3 linked regions of the Bombyx mori genome follow. The protein of the gene in region 1 interacts with the protein of each later gene in a pairwise test. Links are inferred from orthologs where the notes say so. Each region holds a gene or a part of one and is shown on either strand. Other genes may lie near its edges.

What was found.
Region 2: the proteins of replication factor C subunit 1 (region 1) and replication factor C4 interact in a two-hybrid assay, tested with the Caenorhabditis elegans proteins (3 studies listed by BioGRID). The link is inferred for Bombyx mori from reciprocal best matches to the Caenorhabditis elegans genes rfc-1 and rfc-4.
Region 3: the proteins of replication factor C subunit 1 (region 1) and replication factor C subunit 3 interact in a two-hybrid assay, tested with the Caenorhabditis elegans proteins (3 studies listed by BioGRID). The link is inferred for Bombyx mori from reciprocal best matches to the Caenorhabditis elegans genes rfc-1 and rfc-3.

What each region holds. Positions count from the first base shown.
Region 1 is NC_085121.1:15,073,776-15,078,141, reverse strand, and holds the start of replication factor C subunit 1, read left to right. Parts: upstream 1-1,463; 5' UTR 1,464-1,639; coding exon 1,640-1,648; intron 1,649-2,207; coding exon 2,208-2,318; intron 2,319-3,567; coding exon 3,568-4,261; intron 4,262-4,366.
Region 2 is NC_085121.1:12,205,035-12,209,236, forward strand, and holds the start of replication factor C4, read left to right. Parts: upstream 1-1,374; 5' UTR 1,375-1,676; coding exon 1,677-1,786; intron 1,787-1,854; coding exon 1,855-2,130; intron 2,131-3,937; coding exon 3,938-4,156; intron 4,157-4,202. UniProt on the Caenorhabditis elegans protein: The elongation of primed DNA templates by DNA polymerase delta and epsilon requires the action of the accessory proteins PCNA and activator 1. This subunit may be involved in the elongation of the multiprimed DNA template.
Region 3 is NC_085129.1:10,045,345-10,048,504, forward strand, and holds replication factor C subunit 3, read right to left. Parts: upstream 1,896-3,160; 5' UTR 1,743-1,895; coding exon 675-1,742; 3' UTR 582-674; downstream 1-581. Other genes in the region: beta-secretase 1, read left to right, coding at 2,441-2,563, 3,115-3,160.

The sequences.
Region 1 (4,366 bases):
TATATTGTTATGTGCAAAGATGATGTGATTTAGATATTATGTGAAATCTAAGACGAGTTCGTCCTTCAAATTTTCCAAGTAAACGATATGACGATTTTTAAAATTTGCTACACTGATTTTATAAAGTTGTCGTTTGCCGCAAAACATAAAGATATGGCATAGTACAGTGCCATCAGCCCATTTTTAGCATGCTGAATGTTATCGTATTTTGAGTACGTGTTTTTCTTAGACTATTACAATCTATTTTGATTGTTTTGCTGACTCTAAAGTCCGTAACACACTACCGCAGCGCACCCCAAGGAAGGTGCGCCGCACCATTTGAATCACTTTCACTTGAGAGTGATTCAAATTTTAAACTTATCAAGGGACCGCGTGAAAAAAAAAACACCTACAGAACATTTATTCATTATTAAAAACGTCATTCCTTGTGACTTCCTCTCTAAAATCACTTAAGTATTAAATATTTAACGAATTTACAATAGTGTTTTACTCACTGCGAATAAAACTATTTTATTTAAATAGTTCCGAAGAGATTTTGTCGGTAGCCTTTTTCCCGAAATATCTAAACAGAATGTCTAAATATGTTTTGATGACATATTTTAAAGAGGTATTTATGATTAGTGTCATGATCAATAGATTCCGACCGAAAAATGGTGTCCGATTTTTCGGATGAGGGCTCCTTAATGAATTTAAATATATATAGATAATAGTTTTGGGACATCGACTTTCTTGAGATCCTATAAAATACGTTTTAATTATTATTTTTGTATGTTCTAAGCATGATAAATTATGAAATTTTATATAAGCAATCATATTTAATCGATATCAAAGTCAATAATTAATGTACAACCCAAAACAGACGGCCGAACTGACGTGACAATGACATTTGGCGCGCTAAACATGGCGGATTTTCGGCCGCATTAGACGGAGACGGAGATATTTACGTATATTCATGTTTCATTTTATGTACGCACTGAAATACTGTTATATTGTTTTCCTGCGAGTTAAAGTGCTGAGTAAGAACGAGATAGATATATGTTTATGTGTGTGCCTTCAAAATGGGTGCTATTTATATAAGCAATTGTACGTATAGAACAATATGTCGTGTCCCTACTATATAGGTCTATGATAGGTACCTATTTAACTTTGGTTTTTCCTTTGAATACTTTGAGAGCATTCTATGGACTTACTTTTATAAATAAAAATATAAATCACAATCATTATGTATGTATGTTGTAGTAATTTAATCAACCATAAGTGCAGAAGTCCTAAATAAGTAATTGCCTTTTTTCTGAAATTATTTATTAAATTAGTTCGACTTCATGACTTAAACCAGGGAGAGGTATTCATTTTATTAAGTCATAGGATTTTCATTAAAGATAAATTTTATATTAATTTAATCTTCGGTTCAATTTTAAAATATAGGAAATTATTTGATTGTCACTGAAGCTGCTTCAAGCTAACTGTCAAACTCAGTTCAACAGCTGTCCTGTCAATTCTTCATTGAAATTGAATCAAACATAGCTGAACGGTATTTTCCGCGAAAATACACTTATAAATTTATTCAAAAAATCAGATTTCAAATGAACATGATAAAGCTGATAATTCATTAAATTAGAAGACCGTATTAAATAAGAAAATGTCTAAGGTGAAGTAAGAATATATTAATAAGAAATAAAATGGTACTAAAACTAAAAGATGCTCTTCAGCATTTGAGGACCTTGAAGAACTGTAGTGGCCAAATAAGTTTTATATTAAGAATACTTTTCTTCATTATATTCGCTACACTATATTCTCTACACTGATACGCATTTACTTACGATTAATTTAAATTGCTTCGATCATCTGAAGTTTTGAAAAAATGTTGTATTAACTTGGGATTAGATATTACGATTGATGTACATATGAATATAATTATCAGATTGTGTCACGATAACAGATTTTCCAAAATATTGTCGTATATGATTTTTTCACTACTCTAAATATCCAGACTAACATGGGTTTGATTGCTCAAGGCGAATCTGCCGTTGAGTAGTTACCGAGGGGTACAGACATCACAACATTAATGCCGATACCCACATTTTATTGTGTAACAGCTATCCCACACTTCACATATCAAATAGATGACTAATTACCAGTTCATACATAGTACATATCTGAGTGAGTTAAGATTATATGGTACATTCTAAATAAGCATTTAATCATAGGATATAAGATCATTTTTTATCACAACGAAGAAACCTGTAAAGTCCAAGGAAGCAGTTCCTGATGATGATGATATTATTCCTGAATCTCCTGATGTACAAATTAAAAAGAAGGTAATAATCTAAAACTAAAATGAGTGTTTTGTTTGTAGTAGTCGTCTTGGCCTAAAGGATAAGACATCTGGTACATTCATGTTGAGCGATGCAACGGTGTTCGAATCCCGCAGGCCGGTACCAATTTTTCTAATGAAATATGTACTTGACAAATGTCCACGATTGATTTCCACAGTGAAGGAATAACACTGTGTAATAAAAATTAAACCTTCAAAATTATAATTTGTGTAATCACTGGTGGTAGGACTTGTGTGTCCGCACGGTTAGGTACTACCAGCATGCCTATTTCTGCCATGAAGCAGTAATGCGTTTCGGCTTGAAGAATCGGGCAGCTACTATACTGAGACCTTAGAACTCATATCTCGAGGTCAGTGGCAGCATTTCTGCTGTAGTTGCCATGTGCTCCGGTAACCACTTAACACCAGGTGGGCCGTGATCTCGTCCACCAATTTACGCAATACATAAAAAATAGAAAATATATTAGCTAATATTTTTTGTTAGCAATCTCACAACTAGCATCTGAATAGAAGTTTTTGATCTATTTATGGAGTCAATCAATCAGTACTAGAAATTTAAAAATAATGTGGGAAATAATATAACAAGTTTTGTAATTTCATAATACACAATATTAATGAATAGATTTATTGACCGGATGATTTCTTTTTTCTTCAAAAAACAAAAATAAAATTTTCAAATTAATAAAATAACAACTGAAGTACAGTAAAAAAAATGTGAATTAAAAAGTTTTTTTTTTATTTATTGCATAAATAAGTGGACGAGCTCACAGCCCACCTGGTGTTAAGTGGTTACTGGAGCCCATAGACATCCACAACGTAAGTGCGCCACCCACCTTGAGATATAAGTTCTAAGGCCCCAGTATAGTTACACCGGCTGCCCCACCCTTCAAACCGAAACGCATTACTGCTTCACGGCAGAAATAGGTGGTGGTGGACTCACAAGAGGTCCTACCACCATTAATACCAATTCAGTAATACCAACCAATCAAGGTCCAACTAATGTGAAGTATTTACAGGAGCCCTCAGGTCCTACATTTATCACCATCTGCCTTGATATGCAAGGATAAAGTCTCAATTATAATGATTAAAGGGTTGCTCTACCATTAAACTAGAGTAATTGAGAATGACTGCTTCACAATAAAAATAGGCAAGATGATGACCTTTACCAACTCACAAGACACCAACCACATTTTTGTAAGATTTTTAATGATATTAATGTAATGTGCTTTCAGAAAAAAGAAGCAAGGAAGAAAAGAGTTATATTAGATGACTCAGATGATGAAATACAAACGAAAAAACCAAAAAAATCGGAAACACACTTAAATAAAAAAAACAAATCTACTGCAGAATTAAAAGAAGTGAAACCGATAGATTTATTTGGAAATGCACCCATCATAAGAACTGAGCCCATAGTCAAAAAAGAAAAGAACAAAACAGAGTTAGGAATACATTCGGATGATGAATTCGAAAAGAGTCTTCTTGAAATAGATGAGATTGATCATCTAGAAAAAAATAAAAATATTGATTTCACACCCTTAGAAAATGGAAACAATGATAAATCACACGAAAGAAAACTGCAAAAAGAAATGAAACAAAAAGAAAGTATTAAATTAGACAAAGATTCATTACCTTCTTTGAAAGATAAAGAGAAGAAAACAGATAGCTACAATGTTAATAATTTAAAAAACAAAAGCATAATAGATGAAGTTAAGGAAGGTAATAAAAGAAAATTCTCTGAATTTATTGAGACGAACATTAAAGACGAAAATGCTGTTAGCAAAAAAATTAAAATAGAAAAAAAAGATAAAGACGAGAGTTTCAGTTCAAAAGTAGAAAGTGATTTAGAAATGAATTCTTCAGCAATAGATGATGAATCTAGCAAGAAGATAACGAAAAATAGAGGAAATAAGAGTTTAAACGAGTCAGGTTAGATAGAACTTGAAGATAATATTAAAAATAAATTAAATCATATTAATTGAAAATACTTAGTAAAGTTGATGCAACATACAAAACTAACTTATCTATTTCTTT
Region 2 (4,202 bases), about 2.9 Mb from region 1:
AGGAGTTAAAGGTTAGAGTCGAGAAGGAGTTAAAGGTTAGAGTCGAGAAGGAGTTAAAGGTTAGAGTCGAGAAGGAGTTAAAGGTTAGAGTCGAGAAGGAGTTTAGGTTAAAGAGGTCGAGAAGGAGGTTATTAAAGTAAAGAGGTTGAGAAGGCGTTTAAGGTTATTAAAGTAAAGAGGTTGAGAAGGCGTTTAAGGTTATTAAAGTAAAGAGGTTGAGAAGGCGTTTAAGGTTATTAAAGTAAAGAGGTTGAGAAGGCGTTTAAGGTTATTAAAGTAAAGAGGTTGAGAAGGCGTTTAAGGTTATTAAAGTAAAGAGGTTGAGAAGGCGTTTAAGGTTATTAAAGTAAAGAGGTTGAGAAGGCGTTTAAGGTTATTAAAGTAAAGAGGTTGAGAAGGCGTTAAAAGTTTTAAATAAACTTGAAGAGTTTATGTAGGAAGTCGAGAAGGAGTTAGACTATTATAGTTAAGGTTTTATATAGTGAGTCAAGAGAGAAGTTAAGGTTGTATGGTTGAATGAAAGTACATTTTTGATCGAATTGGAGTTGGAGAAGTAAGAAAGGATTAAAGGTAGCGACATTAAAGATAGTATTAAGTTTGAAAGGTTGAATGAATAGTTGATGGTTGAATTGAGAGGGATTATGTAGAAGTGACGGAATGTAAGTGGTTGTGAGGTTTTTTAGGTATGTATGGAAAGAATTAATTTATGAAGGTCAGGTTAGCATTATTCTTTTTTGGTACTAAGTTATAGACGGAGAAAAATGTGTGCAAGTGTTGAGGGGGTGTGTTGGAGTTTGTATATTAAATGTAATGGCAGGCAACACTTGACACTTGATTAGATTTCGAATATTGGAATTATTTTAAATGTTTTAAAAAACAGATCATTGTATTCTCGTAAGAAAATGTCAGTTACTTCTCATCTAGACACGGCATGAAAAACATGTAATAGTTTCATTAAAAAAATATAAAGATAATAATTGTATAATGGTGTAAAAGTGTTCAAGCAATCTGCAATATAATTATAATGAAGCAGTTGTGTTTTTAAATAGCCCCTCATCACCTACAGAACCCAATCCCCTCAAATTTAACCGTCCAACAGTAATTAAAGTAATTATTGTATATAAAGTAAGTATACATAAAAGAACTGAAAGTGAAAATTAAATTGAATATGGTATTAAAGAAAATAAAATAGGTTACTACAATTACGTAGAAATAAAAAACTATATAATAAAACTATTACATGGTTGTTGGACGTAATGAAGTAAAGTTATTTCTTAGTAAAACGGTGGAAATTTACTAAAGCTTCAATGGACTTCAGAGTTGAAGAACACGAGAAGTCACGTCCGGCGATTTAGTTTATTTTACGATACTTCTGCAATTTTGAAGATGCTAGAAAATTAAAAAAATAGCCATTTAAATTCGTTCCAACCTGAAGGAACATTAAACTAATAATACGAAAGAGTTTTCGAAACTTATAATGCTATGTCTAATGTGTTCGTGCCAAAAAGTCTACGTGTATAATTCTAAAAAACGTTAACTTTCTAAAAAACAAGAAAGTGGCTGTATTAACAAGCTCCCCATGCCTGATAAATTCAACTCAAAGCAATTCAACAACAGGTCAAAAAAATTGTGAATTTCAAAATAGTGAAAAGGAAATCAGTAAATACTCTCATAAAATGCAAGCATTTCTTAAGACTGGAAAGATATCTGCAGGAGACAAAGCGTCAACTTCTGGAGTTAAAACTACAAATAAGAAAAAACCTCCAGCTCCATGGGTCGAAAAATAGTAAGTACAGGAATATTACTAAAATCATCTAAATTTAAATTTTGCTGTATCATAATCTTCTTTACCAGTAGACCGAAGACAATAGACGATATAGTGGACCAAGGAGAGGTTGTTCAAGTGCTAAGGGAATGTTTATCCGGTGGAGATCTACCGCATTTACTATTTTATGGACCGCCGGGTACCGGTAAAACGAGTGCCATACTTGCCGCTGCAAAGCAACTCTTCGGAGATATCAGTCGAGACCGCGTGTTGGAATTAAATGCATCCGATGAACGCGGTATACAAGTCGTTAGAGATAAAGTTAAAGCATTTGCCCAGCTTACAGTTAGCGGAAAAAGAGCTGAGTAAGTACTCTGATTTTACCAATAATATTTGTAATATACAGCAGTAATAAGCAGACATAAGTCATAATTTCCTGCCTATTTACCTGATTAAAAAAGGCTGCCATGACCAACTGTAACTGTTAAATGAAATCCTAATGTGTTAATCCTAATTACATTTAGAAATAATAATTTATTAACAACCTTTAATTCGAAAAAAATAAATTACTATTCATTTTATTTTTCGAAACCACTCCATTTTATTAGTAGATGCATACTAGCTTATCTATATCCTTATCAATTATAATAACATACCATGACTAAACTGGTCCTTACTTGAGTGGCAGCCTCAACCACAACTACTCGATTACATGTAATTTTTTCTCCCTTCCTAATCATCCAACTTCACATGGACTGGCAGGTGAGCCCACGGGCTCAACCAGAGGGAATTGCTAACACTAGCCTTAGCAAGAGCAGTGGTTCGCTGAATCTACTACAGGATCGGACTCGCGATCCACTGAGAATATCCAGCGAGAAACTCAGTGGGTTAACAAGTTAACAAATTGATGTTACATTCGTCAAATTGATGTTACATCTGTTCGTATCAATTTAAAACTTTAAAGGGCTTGCAGTTGATGTTACTGAAACCTAATTAATTGCAACAATAAAAAGGACAATTTATTAATTATATTACCTTAGCTTGGGCCCCTAAATAAAAGATGTAATGTATGTAAAGGTGACTTGAAACCCAAATAATATTTTTATTTGTTTTCATGACTTAGACATAATAATTCATATCCTTATTAATAGCGTGATCAATTATGATTTAAATCCTAAGTGAATTATAGAGATTTATATCTCAGAATTTTTATGAATATTATTTTTTTGCTAAATTGGGTGGACGAGTTCACGGTCCACTTGGTTTAAGTGGTAACTGGAGCTCATAAACAGCAACAACATAAATTCCTCCATCCATGAGTTCTAGGTCTCAGTTTTACGGTACAACGGCTGCCACACCTGCAAACCGAAATGCTCTGGTTGGCACTTCAAAGCAAAAAAGGCAAGGGGTCGTAACTATCTGTACGGGCACACAAGACGCCCTACCACCATTAATTACGCAATTTATAATTTTTGCCAGTTTGATTATTATTACCTGATGTTCTTCCATCACCGTCAAAGTCATTCATGAACGTTTCTTAAGTATGTATTTGTCTCTTTTATGTATGTATATTTTGACCAAGATTGTATAATGGTACTGACATAAACCATTATGAGTCTGAGATTGTGAGAGTCAATTGAAAACAATTTGCTTTTTTAGGATTTAGGTCAGTTTGTTACTAAGCATGTGAATGTTCATTAATGTCCAATTTAAATCCCACAACCTTAAACCTTGACACATGAGGTCAAAGTCTTTATACTTATTTGCATATAGTAAGATAATATATTAAAATATTATTTAAAAATTGTCAAACAATATGTGCAAATTCTTAAACAAACTTAGCTCATTGAAGAGCTAAATGTTTCTCTCACCCTTAGAACTGAAATGGGTAACTACATTTTAACAAAATTAACAGGCTGTCTTTATCATGTCATGATTTAATCAAAACGTACCACTAGATTTAAGAATTAAAAATAAGTTGAAAATCCCTAATAATAATAATGGAAGGAATAAAAAAAGGGTGTGTCGTGCTATAAACTTGAGACTAAGAAAATCATTTGGCCCATTTTTTTGAATAAGAGATACATATTTGTGTGTATGTATTATATATACAATGACAAGTGCATGTTTGTATAATCAAGCAATACTGCTAAATATTACATGTTCGTATAGTGGTCGACCATGTCCCTCATACAAACTGGTCATTCTGGATGAAGCAGACTCGATGACTACAGCAGCTCAAGCGGCACTTCGACGCACTATGGAACGCGAGACTCGTACTACACGGTTCTGTCTCATCTGCAACTATGTGTCAAGGATCATACCGCCAATCACGAGTCGCTGTTCAAAATTTCGCTTTAAGCCATTAGCTAGAGAGAATGTTATTAAACGGTAAGAAGTTTGCAAAACCTCCTATTTATTTTGTTCTTTTTACCTT
Region 3 (3,160 bases), on another chromosome or scaffold:
GCCAAAAGTTCATAAATTTTTAAAATTACTTTTTTTGATACATGTATGTTTGCTTCACATTACTTTTGCCTAGTTATTATTTAGTTTTTTTTTCTTTAATTATGGGTAGAGATGTCTGCTAATCATTAATTACTAACAGTACAGAATTAAGAAAGATCAACTTTATGATCTGATCTGAGATTACCTATATACTCGCTTTTTTTAGGGATTCCTACCATGAACTGACATGTAGTACACTCAATAGTAAGTGATCACTGTACTCATAAACACCAAAAATGTCCTCACAGCAAACTGGTTGCCTTCTGGTGAGAGCACTTTTTGAAAAAGAGCATTTCATTGCCCTCAGAAGATATAGAGTAGTGAAAAGTTAGAGTGAAGCTAATTTCAGACCCAAAAAACATATGGCAAAAATTATATCTGGCACCAAGCTAATGTTTACAGCAAGCCCACGAGTAGGTATGAACTCTATGGAGTGATCAGTGATGGTTACATAGAGATTACTTATAGAACATAGAGTATAACCACACAGGGAACCAAGGTTTTTCTCACCAGACCCAGAGGTTTCAAATGATTTACTTGAATTACAGTCACAATACTAATTTAATTTTATTAAAAGCTATTCACAATTATTTTCACTTTACTTAATACACAAATAATAAAAAAAATCAGTCTGCTCAAAACATATCACCTAAGGATTCTTCCATAAATTTCTTATAAATAGCCATAAATTTAGCAACAAAAGCTTCAAGGTGGAATATTGGCTTATTCCCTAATCGCATCCTGTGCTCATATCGTGCTGCATAGCTCGCTACTTGACATTTTAAAGTCATATCACAATTTCTTACTAATTCTTTAAGTAATCCTGAAAATATAGTCTCTGTTGGTATTCCATGTATTATTAGTTCATAAAGTTTCTGACGTACTTCACATAGTTTTTTTGGGGACTGTTCTGATAAAATCATTGATGCAGTTTCTCTTATGAATGTTTGCCAATCCGGTTCTGGCACTTTTTGATCGGGTGTAAAGGGATATTGTTGGACCTTACAAGCCTCACACATGAGTAATGCTCGGCGTAAATTACGATCAGCAGATTTGGCTATACGTAGTGCTAAATCATTAGGTAAGCTTAGACATTCCTTTTTACAAACAAGTTGAAGCACTGTTGCAATTTCAGATTCAGTGGGTGCAGGTACTGATATCGTCAAACAACGTGATCTTATCGCTGGAATGACTCTAGAAATAGAATTAGCAATAAGTATGAGACGACAAGTTGCCACATATTTCTCCATGGTTCTACGTAATGCGTGTTGTGCGTCCTTGGTTAAATCATCTACTTCATTTAAAATGACAACCTTGAATTCACGTTGTCCGTTTGAATCTATCTGATGAGTTTGAGCAACGTTTTTTACTAAATCCATAATAACAACGCGATCATGAATTCCGACGTCGGTTGGGTTAACTTCAATGTGATAGTTACTGCTAACTGTCATAATTTCGATTTTCTTGTTTGAGGGTGTTGTAAAATTCATTGTTTCTTGCCTTAAGCGCTCCACACCTGATCCATAAAGCTCTCTCAATAAGCACATAACTCGTGTTTTCTTACCGGCTCCAGAGGGCCCGTAAATAAGAAGGTGAGGAAAGTCACTTTGTTGCACAAGATTTTTCAGACGTACAGCTTGTTCTTTGTGGTAATCCAACTTCATTAAATCTTTTGGTCTATGTTTATCAACCCAGAGACTCATTTTTCAGTTAATTTATAACTTTTAAATAACTTCAATTTTGTTTATAAGTCAAATTTGTCACAAGTTTCGGCGGCTTTTTTACTGATTGTTATTGCTTAATTTGTTTGTAGTACAGGCAAAAGAAATACAGGCATACCGCCAAAATCTCCTTCCCTGTGTTGATCTTTTTGAGATTATGAGTGTGTTAGCCATTATTCGAAATCGAAGTCTAAAAAATTTACCAGGCTGAGAAGACGATTTGAAAAAGCGATTCCTAAAAATTTTTAAATTTTCGATTTACTTGAGCTTTTAGAAATTTATTGATTTATTTAATTCGAAGATCGGTGAACGAGCTCATACTAGGAAAAAAATTTACACGTGTTTGCAGATGCGTGTAAATTAAATTAATTGATTACACTAAAATTAATTGCTAATTATTTGTTTGTATCAATACAGAAAAAAACGAAATTTTGATACTATTTGGTATTATTTTCGATTAATTTAAATAAAACTTAATTTTTGGTTTCAAACAAATCGATTCTGTGAGAAGTCGATCTTGAATCGTTATCCCTATCTGACATATGTGATACTTGACTTGACAATTGACATTGTTTACAAATCTCAAAACCTTTAACAAATCCTTAACAAACCCATTGGTTTAGTTTCGATAAACCTGGTTCAAATATTAAGCCAATTTTTCGATGGCGTAGATCGCTGAAATGGCGAAGCTGTTAATAATTTTTCTCTATTGTATTTGTGCGAATGGAGAACAGTTTAATTTGCAAGGAGATGCCGGCCTTGCCTATTCTGTTGAGGTAATCATGGGACATCCACATCAAAAGGTAATACTATATTAATTAATCTTCTTACCCATAGCACACAAAATTGGGTCGGAAAAAACAACAAAACATAAAGTTTTGTTCTATTTGCCATTTCCATTTTCTGGCAACTTCATGACGTAGGTAAACCAGTCAAACAGTTATTATGAAAGAATTCAGTTTCTAAATATAAAAAAGAATTGGTCGTAAAATTATCACACATTATAGCATTCATAACTATTTTTTCTTATGATGTGAAATCAGTGAAGAATTTAAGAAAAACAACCAAATATTTAAACTAATCAGCAAATTTTGTAAATTGATAAGAACTATGAGTGGTACATCTTGTAAATACACATCTGTGGCTATTTTTAAACCACAGCTTTACTTTTCATAGTCATTAAGATTTCAGCCTATGTATAAAAGTGCACAGCAGTATCCCATGTCTTGGCTTAATATTAAATATCATTTAGTAAGTTTTGAGCTAGTCTGCTCAAAAATGGTATTAAAGAAATGACCATAACGAAAATGCATTCGAAGACCATCTAGTCTAATAAAATATTTATTTATTTCAGATAAACCTTTTAATTGATACTGGTAGCACAACATTAGCTGTTGCTT